Cricetulus griseus: one gene and its partners. The protein of the gene in region 5 purifies or fractionates together with the protein of the main gene of each other region. This does not show direct contact. Links are inferred from orthologs where the notes say so. Each region holds a gene or a part of one and is shown on either strand. Other genes may lie near its edges. The genes, in order: Yap1, Eif4g1, Prkaa1, Sirt6 and Usp10.

The links.
Region 1: the proteins of Usp10 (region 5) and Yap1 purify together in Homo sapiens (affinity purification with western blotting; 4 studies listed by BioGRID). This does not show direct contact. The link is inferred for Cricetulus griseus from reciprocal best matches to the Homo sapiens genes USP10 and YAP1.
Region 2: the proteins of Usp10 (region 5) and Eif4g1 purify together in Homo sapiens (affinity purification with mass spectrometry; 4 studies listed by BioGRID, with this or other methods). This does not show direct contact. The link is inferred for Cricetulus griseus from reciprocal best matches to the Homo sapiens genes USP10 and EIF4G1.
Region 3: the proteins of Usp10 (region 5) and Prkaa1 purify together in Homo sapiens (affinity purification with western blotting; 3 studies listed by BioGRID). This does not show direct contact. The link is inferred for Cricetulus griseus from reciprocal best matches to the Homo sapiens genes USP10 and PRKAA1.
Region 4: the proteins of Usp10 (region 5) and Sirt6 purify together in Homo sapiens (affinity purification with western blotting; 4 studies listed by BioGRID, with this or other methods). This does not show direct contact. The link is inferred for Cricetulus griseus from reciprocal best matches to the Homo sapiens genes USP10 and SIRT6.

What each region holds. Positions count from the first base shown.
Region 1 is NC_048597.1:122,385,865-122,390,153, forward strand, and holds the start of Yap1 (transcriptional coactivator YAP1), read right to left. Parts: upstream 2,811-4,289; 5' UTR 2,637-2,810; coding exon 2,355-2,636; intron 1-2,354. UniProt on the Homo sapiens protein: Transcriptional regulator with dual roles as a coactivator and corepressor. Critical downstream regulatory target in the Hippo signaling pathway, crucial for organ size control and tumor suppression by restricting proliferation and promoting apoptosis.
Region 2 is NC_048597.1:67,962,960-67,966,474, reverse strand, and holds part of Eif4g1 (eukaryotic translation initiation factor 4 gamma 1), read left to right. Parts: coding exon 1-1; intron 2-121; coding exon 122-294; intron 295-565; coding exon 566-691; intron 692-822; coding exon 823-904; intron 905-2,252; coding exon 2,253-2,351; intron 2,352-2,448; coding exon 2,449-2,583; intron 2,584-2,696; coding exon 2,697-2,778; intron 2,779-2,896; coding exon 2,897-3,037; intron 3,038-3,515.
Region 3 is NC_048595.1:339,157,660-339,161,174, reverse strand, and holds part of Prkaa1 (5'-AMP-activated protein kinase catalytic subunit alpha-1), read right to left. Parts: intron 3,090-3,515; coding exon 2,845-3,089; 3' UTR 1-2,844. UniProt on the Homo sapiens protein: Catalytic subunit of AMP-activated protein kinase (AMPK), an energy sensor protein kinase that plays a key role in regulating cellular energy metabolism.
Region 4 is NC_048598.1:102,384,281-102,388,567, forward strand, and holds the start of Sirt6 (NAD-dependent protein deacetylase sirtuin-6), read right to left. Parts: upstream 2,804-4,287; 5' UTR 2,718-2,803; coding exon 2,652-2,717; intron 2,470-2,651; coding exon 2,342-2,469; intron 2,143-2,341; coding exon 1,900-2,142; intron 1,289-1,899; coding exon 1,229-1,288; intron 239-1,228; coding exon 143-238; intron 71-142; coding exon 1-70. UniProt on the Homo sapiens protein: NAD-dependent protein deacetylase, deacylase and mono-ADP-ribosyltransferase that plays an essential role in DNA damage repair, telomere maintenance, metabolic homeostasis, inflammation, tumorigenesis and aging.
Region 5 is NC_048596.1:196,599,155-196,601,833, forward strand, and holds the end of Usp10 (ubiquitin carboxyl-terminal hydrolase 10), read left to right. Parts: coding exon 1-100; intron 101-771; coding exon 772-837; intron 838-1,158; coding exon 1,159-1,346; 3' UTR 1,347-2,166; downstream 2,167-2,679. UniProt on the Homo sapiens protein: Hydrolase that can remove conjugated ubiquitin from target proteins such as p53/TP53, RPS2/us5, RPS3/us3, RPS10/eS10, BECN1, SNX3 and CFTR.

The DNA of each region.
Region 1 (4,289 bases), on a different chromosome or scaffold from region 5:
CTCATGGCAAGCATATATTTAAATATCAAAAGCAAACTTTAATGTTCAATTTTGACACTAAGGAACACAGGTGTCCAAATGGACCACTTTTAAATTACGAAAATTTAATATGCACTATAAATGTTATTTTACTGAGTCCATCTGAATGAAAGTCTACCTCCCAGACACTGTGAAAACAGTAAATACTTGTCATTAAAACCCGTTTTCAAAAAAATTAGGGCAAGAGCTGTTATTTGGTGGCAGAGAACATGTTTGTTCTATACACACCAAAATAAATAAATCAGTTCATTTCACAGCAGTATGGTTGCTTTTCAAAGTCCTAGAACAAAACCCAGGGAATTACTATGCACTTTTCCCATACTTTGTTTTAAATAACTAATGCCCTCATCTGTCACTTTTTGACTGTAAATTAATAAATCAACCATATAAATTATAGACTCTTAATGAATTCAAAGGCTCAGAACTGTACCAATGCTAAAAACTACCTAATGAAGAGAACAAGGTAGCCCTCTTTGTGCCTACAATTATAACTTAAGGATCTATACACATTAACAGCAAGGGAAGGAAAAAGAAAAACCTGCAGAGACCCCAAACATTCGAATTTGGGTTTAACCAGATTAGTGTTAGACAAAGTATCAGAAGTGAACTTGTCTTCATTTCTGTAAATCAGTTTTTCCATGCCAGAAGCATGTAGGGGTATAGGAATTCTCAGGCAGGAACCTTAGACAACTATTTACAACTGAGACCCATACTATTCATAATCTAATCCTTTTATTATAATTAGGGTTTATCAAAAACGTTTAGTTTCCTAGATTCATGAGCATAAGGAAACTGAAAGGACCCAGCAGTCACTTAAAGCTCCACAGCAAAGACAGGGGCATTTCTGAGTTTCTGATCAGATTAAATTTAGGGCTAGGAAATCATTAGCACACAGAAAAGGTAAATTTCTTGATACACAGCTAGCTCTCTTAAAATGCTCATCAGAAGGCAAATCTACCCCACAAACGGCCGGGTGGAAGTCGGATATTACAAGTATACTTCTCCGTGGTCGTTCCTACAAAATGGAGCATTCAATCTGAGCGTTCCTTCAAAGTTTCCGCGGCCGTTCAAGATTGCACGCCAACATGCATTTAGCTCAGCGAGTCCAGAAACCCACTAGTGGGGGAGGGGATAATGAATAGTACCTAAGTCTACTGTTGTAACAAATTAAGTGTTTAGGCTAGAGGCTAAATAACCTTTCCTTCCTCCTTAACTCGGCTTTTTGTAGCGAGGTTAATCGAGCTTTTCGGAGCTCCAAAACCCTGTTCTGCTGCAGGCCTGCCTAGGAGGGGGGTTGGAGTGGGGGCGGCAACTCTCTTTCCACTCAAGTTACAGCCCGAGTGGGCTAACGATGGCAGTGTTTGGAAAACCAATTAAGTTTTGGGCAAAGTTCCTACGCTGGTTTAGCCTAAAGCAAGGTCTTTAAAAATTAAGTAATTAAATGGAGAAGGGGGTGGGGGGGGCGACACTAAAGAAATCTACCAGGACCTATCGGAATGTTAATACTTTGAAACGTTTTCACTTCTGTGTAGGATCCAGTTGGGAAAACAACCAGGCGTCGTGGATGTGGTTATAAGCAGCCATGTTCACATCCGCAGTCAGTTAAAAAGCAATGGCGAGCCTGGAATTAGTCATTGCTTCCCAAACATTACCTTTAATCACAGTTGAGCCAGGCAGGACTCTGCCTATGAGTCAACCTGCAACGCTCTATCAAAGGCCGGCGGAGAGCCTCTGCGCCCAGAGCGCAGCCGAGTTCCTGCGCAATGCCCAGATGTGGCCAATTTAAAAGCTCTCGGGCCGAACGCTAAATAATAGGTTACGATCGGGCAAGCGACACGTGAGCCCACCGAGTGTGAAAAGATCCCTCCCGCCGGAGTTCCAGGGCACGGCGGGGGCGAGCGGGGGCCGGGGAGCTCGAAGCCTGCACTCGGTCGGTCGGTCGGTCGTACGGCGCCTGGGCCGAGAGCAGAGGCTTCGGCGAGCGGGAGGGGGAGGGGACCGAGAGAAGGAACCAGAAACTCAATGGACCGGTTCAACCCCCACCCCTCACCAACTCGGGAAAACAAGGGGACGGTAAACGCGGCGCCACGGGACAGGGGAGGCCGGGTGTCCCCGGACTGGGGTCCCGCACCAGATGCCGCCCCCCTTCTTCCCCCGTCCCCTCCCCTCCTGTCCCGTCCCCTCCCCCTCCCCGCCGAAGCGAAGGTGCGGAACGGAGGCGCGCGCATTGTGCAGCCCCCCGCGGCCGCCGACTCCGGGAAATCCAACCCCAGTCCCGCACCCCGCGCGTCCCCGGGCCCCCGCGGCGCCGCTACCTGTCGCGAGTGGGACTTGGGCTCGGGCGGCTTGAAGAAGGAGTCGGGCAGCTTGCGCAGCCGCATGGGCACGGTCTGCGGCACGTTGGCCGTCTTGGGGTTCATGACGGCGTTGAAGAGCGCCTCCAGGTCGGTCTCCGAGTCTCCGCGGACGTGCACGACTTGGTGGCCGGCCGGGGGCGCGGGCGGGGCCGCGGGGGTCCCTGACGGCGGCGCGGGCGCGGACGGCGGCACGGGGCCTTGCGGGGCCGGCTGGGGCGGCGGCTGCTGCGCGGGCTCCATGGCTGCGGCCTCGCTCGACGCTCGCCCGGGGAGCTGCGCTCAGGCTCGGGGGGCTGCGCCGCGCGCCCGCATCGCCCTGCACCCTGTGCCCGAGGCCGCCGAACCCTCCCTGCCCTCCCCGGGCTCCTTCGTCCTCCCTTTCTTCGCCCCGACCGCGGCGGCGTCCCGACTGAGACAGAAACTTCGGCTCCAGACGCCCAAACTAAAAAGTTGCGCGGAGCGCCCGCCCGCGCGCCTCGCGGGCTCCGCCTCCTCGTCGCTCTTCCTTCCTCTGCGCGCCCGCCCGCACCGAATCCGCGGCCCGCGGCCCCCGGGGAAACTTTCCCTGCGCGTCGCTACATTCCTGCAGACTCCCGACCGCACGTGACCCGGAGGCTGCGGCGCTGCGTGCGCACCGGCCGGCCTGGAGCTGCGCGTCCGCGGCCACGGCCAGGCCGCGACGAGGGACAGCCGCGTGGGCAGGCTGCTTGGAGAGCCGTCCTATTCACCCGCACTGATTTTAGTCGAGTCTGCGTTTAAACATCCGTCCCAGTTTTGCCATTTACCAGCGAGTTTGCCGAAAAACCAAACCAAACAAAACGACTGGGAGTGCAAATGATTACAAACTGAAGCTTGGAGACAAAGGGAAACATGATTTAAGTTTTGTTTGAAACAGGCCGACTGTAGCCAAGGATATCCTCCAACTGCTGACAAACTTTGTGCTTCAGCTTCCTGACTGCTAGGAGTCCAAGCAAGGGCCTCTGCTTCCCCGGTTTTTAGAATTGGTTTAGCTTTGTCGTTTTTTTTTTTTTCTTTCCTTCTTTTAAATTAAATATTTTATTACATACATATGTAGGAGTGAGTTCCACGTACCGTGGAGCACAAGTGGAGGTCAGACGTAATCTGTAGGGTCTGTTTTCTTCCTTGTTGTGGGTCTCTGAAATCGAAGTCAGGTACCCTGAGACATCTCACCTGCCCTGTTTTCGTTCTCAATGTAGCACAGGCTGACCTCCAACTCTCTATGTAGCTAAGGCTGGCTTTAAATTCTTGTTCCTCCGCCTCAGGCTCTACAGGGCTGGGTTACAAATGTGGACCGCCTTGCCCAGGAAACCATTATTACTTCTTTTTTTTTTTTTTTTTTTTTTTTTTTTTTTTTTTTTAATCAGAAAGCAAGTCAAATTTTTGTTTTGGTTTGGTTTTTTTGAGACAAGGTTTCTCTGTTGTTATCTCTGGCTGTCCTGGAACTTTCTCGGTAGACCAGGCTGGCCTCTGCCTCCAGAGTGCTGGGATTAAAGGCATGCTCCGCCATGCCCAGAGTCAAATCATATTTTTTTAGCACCAAAACTCTGTCATTTAGTCACTCAGAACTTCAACTCAAAACACAAACTTGAGGGAGCACGTTCCCTTTTGCTCACAAGGGTTACACTGAGAGAGACTTAAAGAGAATAAGCAAGGGAGGTCAGCTTTGCCCCCAATTTTCTGTGTGTCAGTCCACCAGGAGCCTATCTGGAATCACTCAAAAACAATGAAAATTGGTTTGTGTTGGGTGATTTGTCTGTGTATATGTCTTTGTATCACATGATTGCCTGGGTCCCACAGAGGCCACAAGGAGTTGTTTAGATTCCATGGAACTGGATGTGAGCTGCCAGGTCGGTACTGGGATGCAAACCTGGG
Region 2 (3,515 bases), on a different chromosome or scaffold from region 5:
GGTTGGGACTAGTGATTGCTAGGAAGGGTGGGGAGGGGGAGCCATGCCGACTGGTGTGGTTTGTATAGGTTATGGACCAGGCAATGATGGTTTTCTCTCTTGTATGCTTCGCCCTCCTCAGGAGGCAGTACAGTGTGTCCAGGAGCTGGCTTCACCCTCCTTGCTCTTCATCTTTGTGCGGCATGGCATTGAGTCCACGCTGGAACGTAGCACTATTGCTCGTGAACATATGGGGCGACTGCTACACCAGCTGCTCTGCGCAGGGCACCTCTCCACTGCCCAGTATTACCAAGGGTATGATAGACTTCTGTGGGCCTTCCGTGTCCACATGCTCACCAATTCCTTCTCTTTTGTGGAATCCCTGGAACTTTGCATTAAGTGTGTAGGCCAACCATTCCAGTTAGCTTTGTGAGGAGTGAAGGTAGCTTTAGCTTTAGATTCTCATGTCTGAAAAATGTCTTTGTAAGGTTTCCACATTGGATTCTTAGTTGTGCTCTATTTCCCCGGAAGGCAGGGTAATCTAGCCCATCTCCCCAAATGCCCTGACTTCTCCTTTCCTTTTCAGGCTGTATGAAACACTAGAATTAGCTGAGGACATGGAAATTGACATCCCTCATGTATGGCTTTACCTGGCAGAACTGATAACACCCATTCTCCAGGAAGATGGGGTGCCCATGGGAGAGCTCTTCAGGTAAAACCCCCCCTCCCTTTGTGGATGCAAGAGAGATAATGGAGTGAGATAAGTTGAATACCTGTGTTTGGAGAGCGATGGAGTAATATTGAGGGCTATGGGGTCATCAGGATTGATGATTTCTCTTACAGGGAAATTACGAAGCCTCTGAGACCCATGGGCAAAGCTACTTCTTTGTTGCTGGAGATCCTGGGTCTCCTATGCAAGAGCATGGTGAGTTTGGCCTTTTAGAGGGTGATGTATTCAGGAACTTAACGTGATTTGGGCTGCCTCTGGAGACCATGGAGCTTCTTGGTCTTTTGATAGCCTTTGCTACTTGAGAAGAAGGTTTAAGTAGGTAGTTTCTGTCATAAATTCTGCCTGGGCAGAAGGAAGATTGGCAAAGAAAGACCATAGACCTGTGGCTAATTCTTTTATTATTCATTTGATCAATGTTTCTTTGAGCAGGTCACACAGTTCACTGAATACTGAGCGCGCGTGCACACACACACACACAGATTACAAAAGTTGAATGGTGTGGACTCTGACTTGGTACAGAAAAAGCAAGAGGTGGCAGCCTCAACAACTTGAGTGAAATGTGAAATAGGGAAACGGTGGAGCTGTGAAATATTTGACAGCCTTTACAGGAGAGGACCTTTGAGGAGCACAGTAGCTCTTTATGTAAGACAGTGAAGTGACAGGAATGCAGGGCCTCGACAGGCGAGTCGGGAGTGGTGACCATGGTGTAAGAAGTCAGGGCGTGTGCTTTGAAGAGTTTGGGTATCTGGAACTTGGAGAGATGATTAAGGGGACTCAAGGGGATTTTTTTTTTTGTGAGGGTGTGGGGTGTTCCTGCTGCTGAGATTTGTCTGAACTTAGGAAACCAATAGGCATATCTGTTCCTTCCTTGTTTGAGACAAGGTCTCTCTGTGTATCCATGGCTGTCCTGGTGTGCCACCACAGTTTGGCAGCTACTTTTTTTTTTTAAGTAAACATTCATTTACTTGGGATAACAAAAAAGCTCAGTGGTTAAGAGGAAAACGGTACATTTAAAAAATTTAACTTCGATTTTTTTTGTGTGTGTGTGTGTGTGTGTATGATCCTGTGTGTGGCATGTGCCTGCAGAATTCAGAAGAGTATGTCAGATCCCTGGAACTTGCCATATGATTAGTTGTGAAACTATCATGTGGGTGCTGGGCCCCAAACAAAACAAACTCAGCAAAGCTGCTTTTGGAAAAGAAATGTAGTTGAAATATATATACTACATATGCAGTAGGAATATACTGGGTGAGATGTGTAGGTTTGGTTGTTTACCTTTTTGAGATTTAGTGATTTCTTGACTCCTACAAATGCTAATTGGTTTTTTTCCTAGAAGCTTTTCCGTCTCCTAATGTCACACCACTGTGGTGGTGGGTGCGTTCCTATTGCTTGGGATGTTTGGTTTCATCATGGAAGGGTGGTACCTGTTTGGTATCTATGTGGTATACTTAGATGACTGCTGAACTGTTGAGTCCTGAGAGCTAGAGGCCATAGAAAGGTAGAGGTAAATATTGAGATGCTGAATTGCTCTTTTGTTTTTCAGGGTCCCAAAAAGGTGGGAATGCTGTGGCGAGAGGCTGGGCTGAGCTGGAGGGAATTTCTAGCAGAAGGCCAAGACGTTAGCACATTTGTGGCTGAACAGGTTTGAGACTGGAGTTTTATTCAGAATTTGGGGGCTAGCTCATCTCATCTTTCACACTAACTAGTCCTGACCTTGGCTGTCCTTCATTTGCTTATAGAAGGTGGAATATACCTTGGGAGAAGAGTGTGAGGCTCCGGGCCAGAGGCCACTTGCCTTTGAGGAGCTGCGAAAGCAGCTGGAGAAGCTGCTGAAGGAGGACAGCAGTAACCAGCCGGTGTTTGACTGGATAGAGGTATGTTTCTCCTGGGTAGTTGGAGAAGGGTAGAGGCATGATTTGGGAGGTGACAGGAGTGGGTACTTAAGAGGCATAATTTAGAACTTAAAAGCCTTTGTTTTTCTGCACAGGCCAACCTGAATGAGCAGCAGATAGCATCCAATACATTAGTTCGAGCCCTCATGACAACTGTCTGTTATTCTGCAATTATCTGTAAGGAGCCTGGGAGATGGTGGGGCAAGGCTGTGTGGAGAGAGAGGGGTTTTGGCATTCTGGGCTAAGCCAGGTGAAGTCTACATTATTTCATTTATCCTTGTCTTTTTCCCTGTAGTTGAGACTCCTCTCCGAGTGGATGTTGCAGTGTTGAAAGTGCGAGCGAGACTGCTACAGAAATACTTGTGTGATGAGCAGAAGGAGCTACAAGCACTCTACGCCCTCCAGGCCCTTGTAGTGACCTTAGAACAGCCTGCCAGTAAGAGCCAGGCTGCAGGGATGGGTGGGACAGAGGGACTGCCAGATAGAAGAGAGGGTGGTCATGAAAAGTACACAACCCAAGAAAGGTGGGTAAAGAACAAAATGCCCTGATGGTTTGATTGATGCCTTACCCTACCCAATGCACGTTCCCTTGCCTACAAAGAGTGAGTTAATTAAACCTTGAGGGTTGACATCCTGCAGGCTTTGTGCTTGGCCAGTAGGTGACAGCAACAAAAAATGATATCTTTCAGACATGATGTGCCCACTGAGTCTGGCACAAGGCTAAAATGCTTGGCTTACATTGCCTTATCTCATAGCCATTGTGGGTTTATCTCCTTTTTTCACACTGTAAGACTGAGGTTTACAAATTGAGCACATGGGTATGTTCAAGTGTTAGTTAGGTAACCGTAGTAAGGAAGCAGACCACAGTTGTGGGCTGGCCTGTAGTCAGGGGCTGAGGGAGTGTTGGAAGGTTA
Region 3 (3,515 bases), on a different chromosome or scaffold from region 5:
AGAAAGAAAGATTTAGACATGTTTTTCTTTCATTCCCAAGATGCCACTTGGAACACAGATCTTACACACCCAACCACATTAGCTCATCTGTGAATGGCATCAAAAGTCCAAAGGACGGTGCAAGGAAGGGAGAGAATTTATATAAAATTATCTAAAACTCCAAAACACTACAAAAGCATCTTAAGAAAAAATATAATCAAAGTAAAAGCAATGGTGTTTATTTCAATGAAATTATTTTAAATTAGATATATTAAGCTCCCACGTGTCCCAACTTGGTAGAAAAGTTCCTTTCATGAGAAATCAATTTTAATGGCAAAATTTTTACATATCAGCAAAATCTGTTATTTTAAAACTATGTATACAGTACTTTTCTGGCAAAAACTTATACAGCTTTCAGTTATCAAGACAAAGTAAAAATATGGTTGCATAAAATCACAAAAAAATATAAACTGCTGAAAAGATAATAAAAAAAGATTAAAAATCATTTGCATTGACTCCCCTTACATTTTCAATATAAGAATTTGCAAACTACATTCACAATACATTTGTGAAAATTCTGTTGCAAGCTTGACATACTTAACTGAAAGTTATCATTTCAGATATCCTAGCTTGAAAAAATTGACTGCAATAGTCTGCATTTATCATACTATTTATACAAGTGCAATATTTAAATATCTTCAAAATAAAACTCGGTAACTAAAAGGAATCACAGAATAACTTATAAAAGAAGCAAAGTTTACAAAATTAACAATTTTTAGAAGGTCCTATTTAATTGGTTCCTCCTTTTGTGCCCCTTCCCCTTCCACACAGTTTATAGAGATATTACTTAGTTCTATTTACAAAGCTGGAACTTTAAAAAAAACACACTCTTCCTTTCTTCACATCAGGAACACAATGCTGCATTTGGACATCATAAGTAATATCAGTAAACCCCAAACAGAGGACACACACACACACACACACACACACACACACACACACACACACACACACTCGCCCACACAAACACACTCGGTATAAATACAGTTCGGAACTCATTTAAATGGAGGATCCATTACTTTATACAGCATCCAAATTGGAGTTGAATAAAACAAGCCCTGAACAAAAGAATCATAATCTTTGTTTGGAATTCAGTGCATAAACCAAGCTATCATGACCTCCAAATTCATTCCCTTCTGGTTACGTAAGTGCTCAACACATTGGGGGGTGAGGGGGATTAAAATAAATATAGTGAAAAAAATATCTCTCCTGCAAAGGGAAAATGATTAATGTTTAAAGAAAATGTATTTTTGCATTGCTGGGATCAAACCCAGGATGCTGGGTGCATCCTAGACAAACACCACCACTGAGCTAGAGCCTCATACCCAATTTCTTAAACTTCAATAGAAGCCAAATGTGGACAATAAGACATTATTTGCTCATAAAACACCAAGCTTCATCTTCCCTGACTTTAAATCTTCATTTACAACTCAAATGCTGTGCTGTCACTGAAAGAGGAGAGGCATAGAAATCAGAGATCTAAGAAAGATATTACTTCTATAGCCACTAATTTTTTAAAAGTAAAACCTGAAATAAACTTGACCATTTTAAGAACTGATCCCTTCTCCACCTTTTCAGAATATTATTTACCTGATTAAAGAGATAGAGCTGAAATGAGACTGTAAATATAAACGGGATTCTGGACAGTTAAGAGATAAATATGGAAGGCCATTCACTGTCTGGAAATTACTCGTTTTATAATGCATTCAAGAGTTTCTTAAAGGACAATATTATTTTTAGGAGATGCTTAAGTATTTAGGACTGAGTATGTGTTTCTTAACATCTCAGTGGTTCAGAACAAAAGCATACATACATTCAAACATATATGCATATCTGTTTTTGTACATATGTGCATCTAGAGAGCAAATGCAGCCAAATAGGAGTTGTTGGAACTAAGTAGTAGACATACATGCGATCACTGTATTTTTTTTTTAAATGTCCAGAATAAAATCAGGGGTCAAAAATCCAATCCACGTATTCAAAGCTTATAAAAAATGTCCTTTCTATGCACTGAATCAATATTAAAAATATACAATCAAATGACATTCAACAGTGGCTGGCATGACAGCCAGAAGAATCCATGACAGTGAAAAAACATGATTCAGTACAGTATGAGCAACTCCACTCTTGGATCCAAAGCAGCACTTCATATACAAATCAAAGGGGGAAATTGTAGAAGTAAACTTAGGGCTCAGGGTTTCTGAATACATAAATTCTATGGATTTGGGGGCTTACAAGCTAAAGAAAAGATTTAAATTGAGTCTGTATCTGGTATGACTTACCACACAAAACAGCATTTTAATGTTGTGGAAATCGTTCACAATGTTACCAGAAATGGAAATAGTAGCTATTTAAGAAGCTAAGGAGCCCAGAAAACAGCATCACTTAAGAAGGTCTATGGGGAATTCTAGGCAAATAATTAATTCATGAAGCAAATATAAAACACATCAACATATGTGAAGGCTTTTATGGTAAATTTATGGCCTACAAAGCCCTGTTACACCAAATTAAAATGGTCAAAAATCAAGTGAGACCTACAATCCATTCTGTATATATTTTGCTGTATATATCTATTGAATAAGGGACAACAGAATGGTCCCAATTCATTTCCGCACATTAGGCTTTTATCATTTTCCAATCCCTGTGCAAACTGCATTCCAAAGGCCAATCCTTAGATATATGCATATATATATGTATATATATATACACACATATATATATATGTAAAACTTGATAAGTGGAAGTGTTTGGCTATAATTTATTATGCATGCTTATTGCATCAAAGAAATAAGCAAAGTTTTAGGTTTACTGTGCAAGAATTTTAATTAGATTTGCACACATTTCAAAAAATTCTATTGTGTGACTTCCTGGTCTTGGAGCTAAGTCAACCGGAGAAGAGTCGAGTGAGGTCACAGATGAGGTAAGAGAAACTTCTGACGGCTTTCCTTGAGCCTCAGCATCAGAGTCACTCCTTTGGCAAGACCGATAGTTGCTGATGGATCCCGATCTCTGTGGAGTAGCCGTCCCTGATTTGGCTTCTGTTATTTCATCTGGGTGAAAAGAATTCCCACATGTTACTATTTGTCCCTTGAGAGGTCCAACAGTATGGATCAGATTCTTTAAGTGAGACTACTGACTAGCTCCCCAGAGCATGTGTAATTTAAATACATTCTCAAATGGGGGTACTGTGCCTGGATTAAGCCACTCACTCACAGTTTCTCCACACAGCATGGAGAATGCCTATGATGGATGACCAGTTCACACAGGGTACACAATCTATCACTCTTGACTTTTACACTAAGAGCCAGGAAACTAATAACCTGAGTTTTAATTTAAAAAAAAAAAAAATCCCCTACCACTAAAAGTCTTTTCTATTAAAAGCACAGAATCAATCTCTTGAAATATGGATGATATCTTGGAAATCATCTCAGCCAAGAACCATTTTACTAATATAAAACAAAGCCAGAGAAAACAAT
Region 4 (4,287 bases), on a different chromosome or scaffold from region 5:
ATCAGCGAGCATCAGGTCCCGTTCAGGCAGTGCGTCCTCCCAGTCCAGAATGGTGTCCCTCAGCTCCCCCCTGCAGCAGGTCAGGGAAGGGAGTTAGGGCCCTCACTTCCTGACAGGGGCAGGTGTGAGGAAGGTTACTCACCTACAGGCCCTTAGGCCCCTGGCCTTGGCCACTGTGCAGAGCCGGCCCGTGGCCTTGAGGCCCATGGTACCCACGACTGTCTCTCTCACGTATTGCCTGTACAGGGGGGAAGGAGGGGGATGTGACTTGTCTAGCGCTCTTTCAGGGGTCTGGGGGTGGTGTAACCAGTGTATGGGGTACAGGCTCAATCCCTGGGCTACACTGCAAGACCAACAGCCTAGGGATACAAAGACAGGTGCCTCAGTCTGGGAAGGGCTTGACATGCAGACATGAGGCCCTGAGTTCAAAAGGCGGCACAATGGAGCAGATTTACCACCCCAGCGCTGGAGACCCCAGGAGGTTCCTGGCCACTCAGCAAAACCAGCAATTGACAGGTTCTGAGAGACTGTGCTTCAGAACACAAGGAGAGGGGTTGAGTTAAGACACCTGATGCTGGGGCTGGAGAGCACTAACCGCTTTTCCAGAGGACCCAGGCTCAATTTCCAGCAACCACCTGGTGGCTCACAACCACCTGTAATGAGATCTGGTGCCCTCTTCTGACATAAAGGCGTACAAGCAGGCAGAACACTCATACATTAAGTAAATGGGTAAATCCTTAAACCCCCCCCCTCCAAATGACAACAGCAAAAAACCAAACCAACAACAATACAAGACCATCCACCAGTGTGTGTGTGGGGTGGCCAAACATGATGGCTCATTGGCTGTGATCTCAGCACCAGGAAGCAGAGGCAACTTAAAGAGGGGGTCAGGGGCTGAAGCTCAGGGGCACAGCTCTTGCCTAACACCCTCGAGGATCTGGTGTAAAGCAATGTTGTCTGCTGGCTGGGAGCCACAGCAGGGGGGTGGGGCAGGGAGAACCCCTCACTTCCAAGGATGTGGCTTGTGTCGCCCTGTTTTGTAGCTTCTTGCTTGGGGGACCTCCTCATAGCTTGTCTGTTTTTAACTGACTGTCACTGGAATCAGAGGCACCTCCCAGCTTTCCCTGGGGCCATTTCAGGACCTGTTAGCTGGTTCAGCGGAGGAACCTGGGAGAGCCCCACCCTGGGAGAGCCCCTCCCCTGCCGGTCTTCACTTGCGGACACTCACGTCTTACACTTGGGACATTCCTCTACAAACATGTTTCCATGGAGCTCAGCCAGCTTGTCCCTGCGGAAGAGAATGAGAGTCAGGTCCCTTCCTCCCTGAACCCTGAGGCTTGGACCAGTTGCTCAGCCTGCCTCTTCCTCCAGAAAGCCTTCCTAGGCTGCTCACCCACAAGGTCTAGGCTGAGGAATTGTTACAGGTGGCGATGACCCTATCTCTGCAAACACAAATAGCTGCTCCCCACTACAAAAATCTGTTGGCCAGATGGACCGTGGTGTCGCACGCCTTTAATCCCAGCACTCGGGAGGCAGAGGCAGGCGGATCTCTGTGAGTTCGAGGCCAGCCTGGTCTACAGAGCTAGTTCCAGGATAGGTTCCAATGCTACACAGAGAAACCCTGTCTCGAAAATCTTAAAAAACAAAAAAACAGAAAACAATCTGTTGGCCTTAGAGCACTTGCCTAGACGCCCCCAGTGAGGGGCTGGGGGCGTGGCTCAGGGTGGAGCCCCACCTAGAAACCCCCCCATTGACCAAGTGCTGGCCTACTTTAGGCTCCAAGCTCTTCCCCCCTTTCCATCTCCAATAAAATGTCCCTGACCCCGGGCAGGCAGCCTGGTTCCCGGATAAGGAAGGGGTGCAGCTGAGCCCCACGCCCCTGGTCCAGTCCCATCTGACCTGGGGAAGCCCGAGCGTACGTGCAGCCCGTCCACATTCTGGCTGACGAGGAAGCTGAGGAAGCCCGAGCGCTCCAGCTGCACCAGGGCCATGTGGGTCTTGGAGGGCCGGGCGTTCTCGAAGGTGGTGTCAAACTTGGGGGCCAGGCCACGCTCTTCCATGGTCCACACGCCGTGGGGGCCTCTGAGGACAGCGAGCAGAGGACAGAAGTTCCTTTTCGAGTGCAGGCCTCGTCCTGGGAGCCTGAAGTCAGTGTGTGCTGCGGGCTGGGTCCCTGTCGGGGAGAGCCAGCCGGCCAGCCGGGGACCCCGCAGCCGGGGACCCCGCAGACGCGTCCCAGCATCCCCTGCAGCCACACATCGCCGGGATCTGTGGCGGCTGCCCCACCTCACGGCCGTCCCCGCCAGCGCCCTGCCTCAGTTTCCCGTGCTCGTTCACAGACCTGAAGTCGGGGATGCCGGAGGCGGTGCTGATGCCGGCGCCCGTGTGGAAAACCACGCTGGAGGCCTGCAGCATCAGCCGGGCCAGCTCCCCCACCTTCCGCTCCAGCTCCTCCGGGGGGTCGAAGATCTGTGGGGACGGGGGCACAGCTGGGCTCAGGGACGGACCCCACCGCACCGCACCCACCCCGCCCGCGGGGTCCTCCTTCCAGGAAAGTCCTTCCCGCTGTCTACACTCCGTGTTTCGTGCTGTCCCCACAATGCCCCACTCGTCCGGGCCCCCGTCTGGCGACCGGGACACCGTGGCCTCACCTCCGGCAGCCCGCACTTGCCCTTATCCGCATACGGCGACAGCCCGGCTGCGTAATTCACCGACATCGTCGCCAACAGCGCAGACGGGAACAATAAAGTTTCCCTTGTTGAGGCCGCTTCCGCCGGAAATGGGGAAGGGACCGCCGGGGTGGGAGCGTTAGAGGCGGAGGAGGTGTTTCCCCCCGGAGCGCGCGCGCCGCACTGACGCCGCGGGCGCCATCTTTAGTGCTGGCAGAGACTTGCGGGCTGCCTCGCGAGCCTTCCCTTCTCGTCCCCGGCGCGCTCGCAGGAACCGAGTCCCAGCCCAGCCTGGCTGTGCAATGAGACCCTGTTTCAGAAAAGCGACAAAACCAGCAACAAAAACCATTAAAAACAACCCCCGGAACTCTCACTCCGTGGGTAGAGCTCACCCCTCGTGCATACAGCCGCGGCGGGAGTTCGAAGCCCGTCTAGAGGTCGTGAGACCCTGGGCGGCCTTTGGGTCTCTGCTGTGCGGCTGTCAGCCCGTGTCTGCCCCTTTCTGAGCCACAGGATAGAATGAATGGGAACTTGGGGTTCACAGGCACCCCCTCCCCCGGGCGCCCTGCCAGCATGTTCTCAGCTTTGTTTCTGGGGATAGCACAGAGCATCACGGTCAGGTCCCCACGTTACACAGAGGGGCCCGGAGACGCAGAGAGAGATGGGGAAGGGGATACTGGGTCAGAAGCACCTCCTGTGATCCCCTCCTGTGGCAGTCCATCCTGACCCCTGTGCCTGCTGGTGGTCAGACGGGACCAGGCCACGGCGATGGGGGCAGCAGTCCTTGGGGCTGCCCACATGAGCAGGCTGGCCAACAGCAGTCCTCCCTCTCTGGGCTCATCCCGTCCCCCTGGGCGGATGCCCCCCCTTCCTGATCAGGTGTCACCCCGACTCTGCTGCTGGCAGCTCGCACTTGGAGCGGGTAACCAGAGAGGCTGTGGTGCACGCAGTGCTCTGGCCTAGAGACGCCTCAGGTAGGGGGATGAGACTGTGAGAGGCCAGGGAAGACGCTGCTCTGGGTCCCAAGGAAGGGGATACTGTGTCAGGGGGTTGGGGAGGGGGCTGCTTGCGACACCCGAACACATACATGCACCTGCACACTCGTGACAGGTACACGGGACCCACCCGACATGCGCGGACCTCGCTCAATGTGCGGCCTCCTCCCTGAACCATTGTGGGAACCCACAGGTCAGCGGACCTGTGCTGCCCCACCTCTTCCAGGAGGGAGACCCCTAAATTCACAGGCCTTACCCACACGATTCCATCCTGACTGCCAACCTGAGTTTCCTGTTACCCTTGGGTGTGATTGAACTTTATAATTGGGGGTGAGAATGAGCTGTACACTGAGCTGTAGAGGAGAAAGGAAGGATGGACAGGTGGGTGGATGAATGGATGGATGGATGGATGAGTGGATGGATGGATGGATGGATGGATGGGGTGGATGGGTGGGTGGTGGGTGGGGGGGGTGGATGGATGGATGGATGGGTGGGATGGGTGGATGGATGGGTGGGTGGTGGGTGGGTCTTCCCTGAATAGATTGCTTTTGCTCATTGAGAGTAGTCAGAAACGTGACTGGCCTTCCTACAAGGGGCTGATTGTCAGGTGTCTCCTTCCCTCA
Region 5 (2,679 bases):
CTCGTGTTGCACCTGAAGCGCTTTGTCTATGAGAAGACGGGTGGGTGTCAGAAGCTAGTCAAGAACATTGATTATCCTGTGGACTTGGAGATCAGCAGAGGTAATGCCAAGCCCTGTGCTTGCTGCAGTGACCCTGAAGGTCCACTCAGTGTGACACCAAGTCAGGACTCTTTGCTTTAAGTTTATTTGCATTTGTGGAACTTATACAAACATTTTCATTAGTGGTTTTCTTATTTTTTAATTTGATTTATATTTTGCCTACATGTATCATTATGCACCACGAGCATGCCTGGTACAGGTGGAGGCCAGAAGAGGGTATTGGATCCCCTGGGGTTGGAGTTACAGATAGCTATCAGCTGCCATGTGGGTGCTGGGAATCAAACCCAGGCACAAACTTCATAGTTGTGCCAAAGCCTGACTAGGAATATTGCAAGCCCAGGCAGTCTACAGAATGCATGGGTCTGGGGAGCAGGACAGTGGAGTCTTCCTCCTAATCTTGGAGAGAAGTCCTCTCAAGTAGAGAGTACTCTGTCCCCAGGACTGCATATCTGGATTCCTGTTTCCTGGTCCACGAACTGGGTGTGCAGTTACCCCTGCCCCTTGGCTGTCAATGGCACCTTCAGGTACAGTCCTGACACAGCTCTGGGCCAGGACCTGTCCATCCCTGCTCTGATCCTTGAAGTGGGGTGGGTGTTGTTAGGTAGAGCTGTCACCAGTCAGTGCTGCTGTTCTGTGGAGATTTTGTTGAACTGTTGCTGTTTTGTTTTTCAGAACTTCTTTCTCCAGGAGTCAAAAATAAGAATTTTAAATGCCACAGAACCTATAGGCTGTTTGCAGGTGAGTATGCTTGCCCACTGCTAACTCATAAACACAGCAAGCAGAGAGCCTGTATGGTCCCTAGGCAACATTCTGCTGGAGTGCACTATCATAGAGACAGGAGCCTGGGAGAGCTTGGGTGTCTAGAAAGCAGTGGGGTCTGACATGAGGGAGGGCTCTCAAAATGTATGAGTGTCTCCCTGAGTCAGTGGCCTGTGGGCTCCAGTGGAGCCCTCCCTCCCTCCCCCCCCCCCTTTTTTTTTGGAGGGATTAGGTTGTGATCTGTGTCAGTCGGGGTGAGGGACTTTTCTCACGGGTTGCCTGCCTTGTGTTGTCTTCCAGTGGTGTACCATCATGGCAACAGTGCCACGGGCGGCCACTATACTACGGATGTCTTCCAGATTGGGCTTAATGGCTGGCTGCGAATTGATGACCAAACGGTCAAAGTTATTAACCAGTACCAGGTGGTGAAGCCAACTGCTGACCGCACAGCCTACCTCCTGTATTACCGCCGTGTGGACCTGCTGTAGCCGTGTCCGTGTGCCTGTGTGTGTGCCTGACGCTGCTTCCTACAATTCCCAACTTACTAACTTCCCACCACTCTAGTGGCTCTTTAGAGAGAAACTCTTCCTCTGTGACAGTGGGCTTGAATGAAAGGAGATGTCTTGGGGGGGGGGGGGTCTGCACAGCGCAGCTCATGCTGACTCTAAACTTTCAGAGACAGTCGCTTGGTTGAGGAAATACACAAGACACAGCGCTTCTGAAGAACTGCTGGCTCCTTAATGGAGGAGGTGGCTTGTACTGTGTCCCAGTCTGATTGCATAGTGGAATAAGTCCCGCACCAGCAGCTCTTGTAAATTTGTGAAAATGAATTTTATCTATCCTTAAAAAATAATTTTTTTAATTCATCACACTTTCCTCCCTTACCCTTTAGTTTTTGATAAACGATAAAAATGAGCCAGTTATCAGAGATGAGAGAGTTCTTACTTCAAAAGGATATAAATACACAAAACATGTCGCTGGTTCCTAGACGGAAACACATTTTAACAATTGTGAGATAATAACTGCTGACGTATACACTGCAGGTCAGACATTTGGGGTGCAGACGTCAGGCTATAGAGGTGGGTGATTGTAACTTTATTACCATGGAAAGATTTCAAATCGCATTCATGCTCTGTGTACACATCAAGAAAAGTGGGCAAAATAATGAAGATTGACATTTCCCAATGTCTGCTGTGTAAACTCCTGTCCGCGCCCTTCTGATGCCGTGTCCCTAATTGTACACAGTGTAGTGATTCCTAGGAGTATAAAGTTGTCACCCGTCAATAAAGATCACAAAGTTGGTTTAAAGCTGTGTGTGTTTCTTGATTTGGAGACACTTGATTTTTTTGAGACAGGGTTCCTCTGTGTGGCTCTGGCTGTCCTGGCTGTCTCTATTGGCCTTGACTTCACAGAGCCTGCCTCTACTCCCATGGTGCTGGGATTAAAGTCACTGCCTGGTGATTGAGACACCTTTTCCAGAAGAGCCCTCAATCCTACAAGCCTATGATTCAGCCTCTGAATTCAGCTGCCACACTGGCTGTGGTGGGCTAATGCAGCTGCTGATTAGCTTGAGAGGACCTGACTTTTCACTTTTGCTCCCTCTGATCCTGTGGGTCATGTCAAGGCCAAGTTTTTCTTTTGAATGTTTCTGATGCTACCCTCAGCTCCTGGTGGAAATGGAGAAGAGGTTGCTAGCAATGGGAAGTCCGCTGAATTTTTGGTCCTGTGGGCTGGACTCTACAGGGCAGGGCTTGCAGTGGGGTGGAACCTTTTTTTCTCAAGCTCCTTTTGTGAAATGGCAGTGTTTCCATCATTAACTGC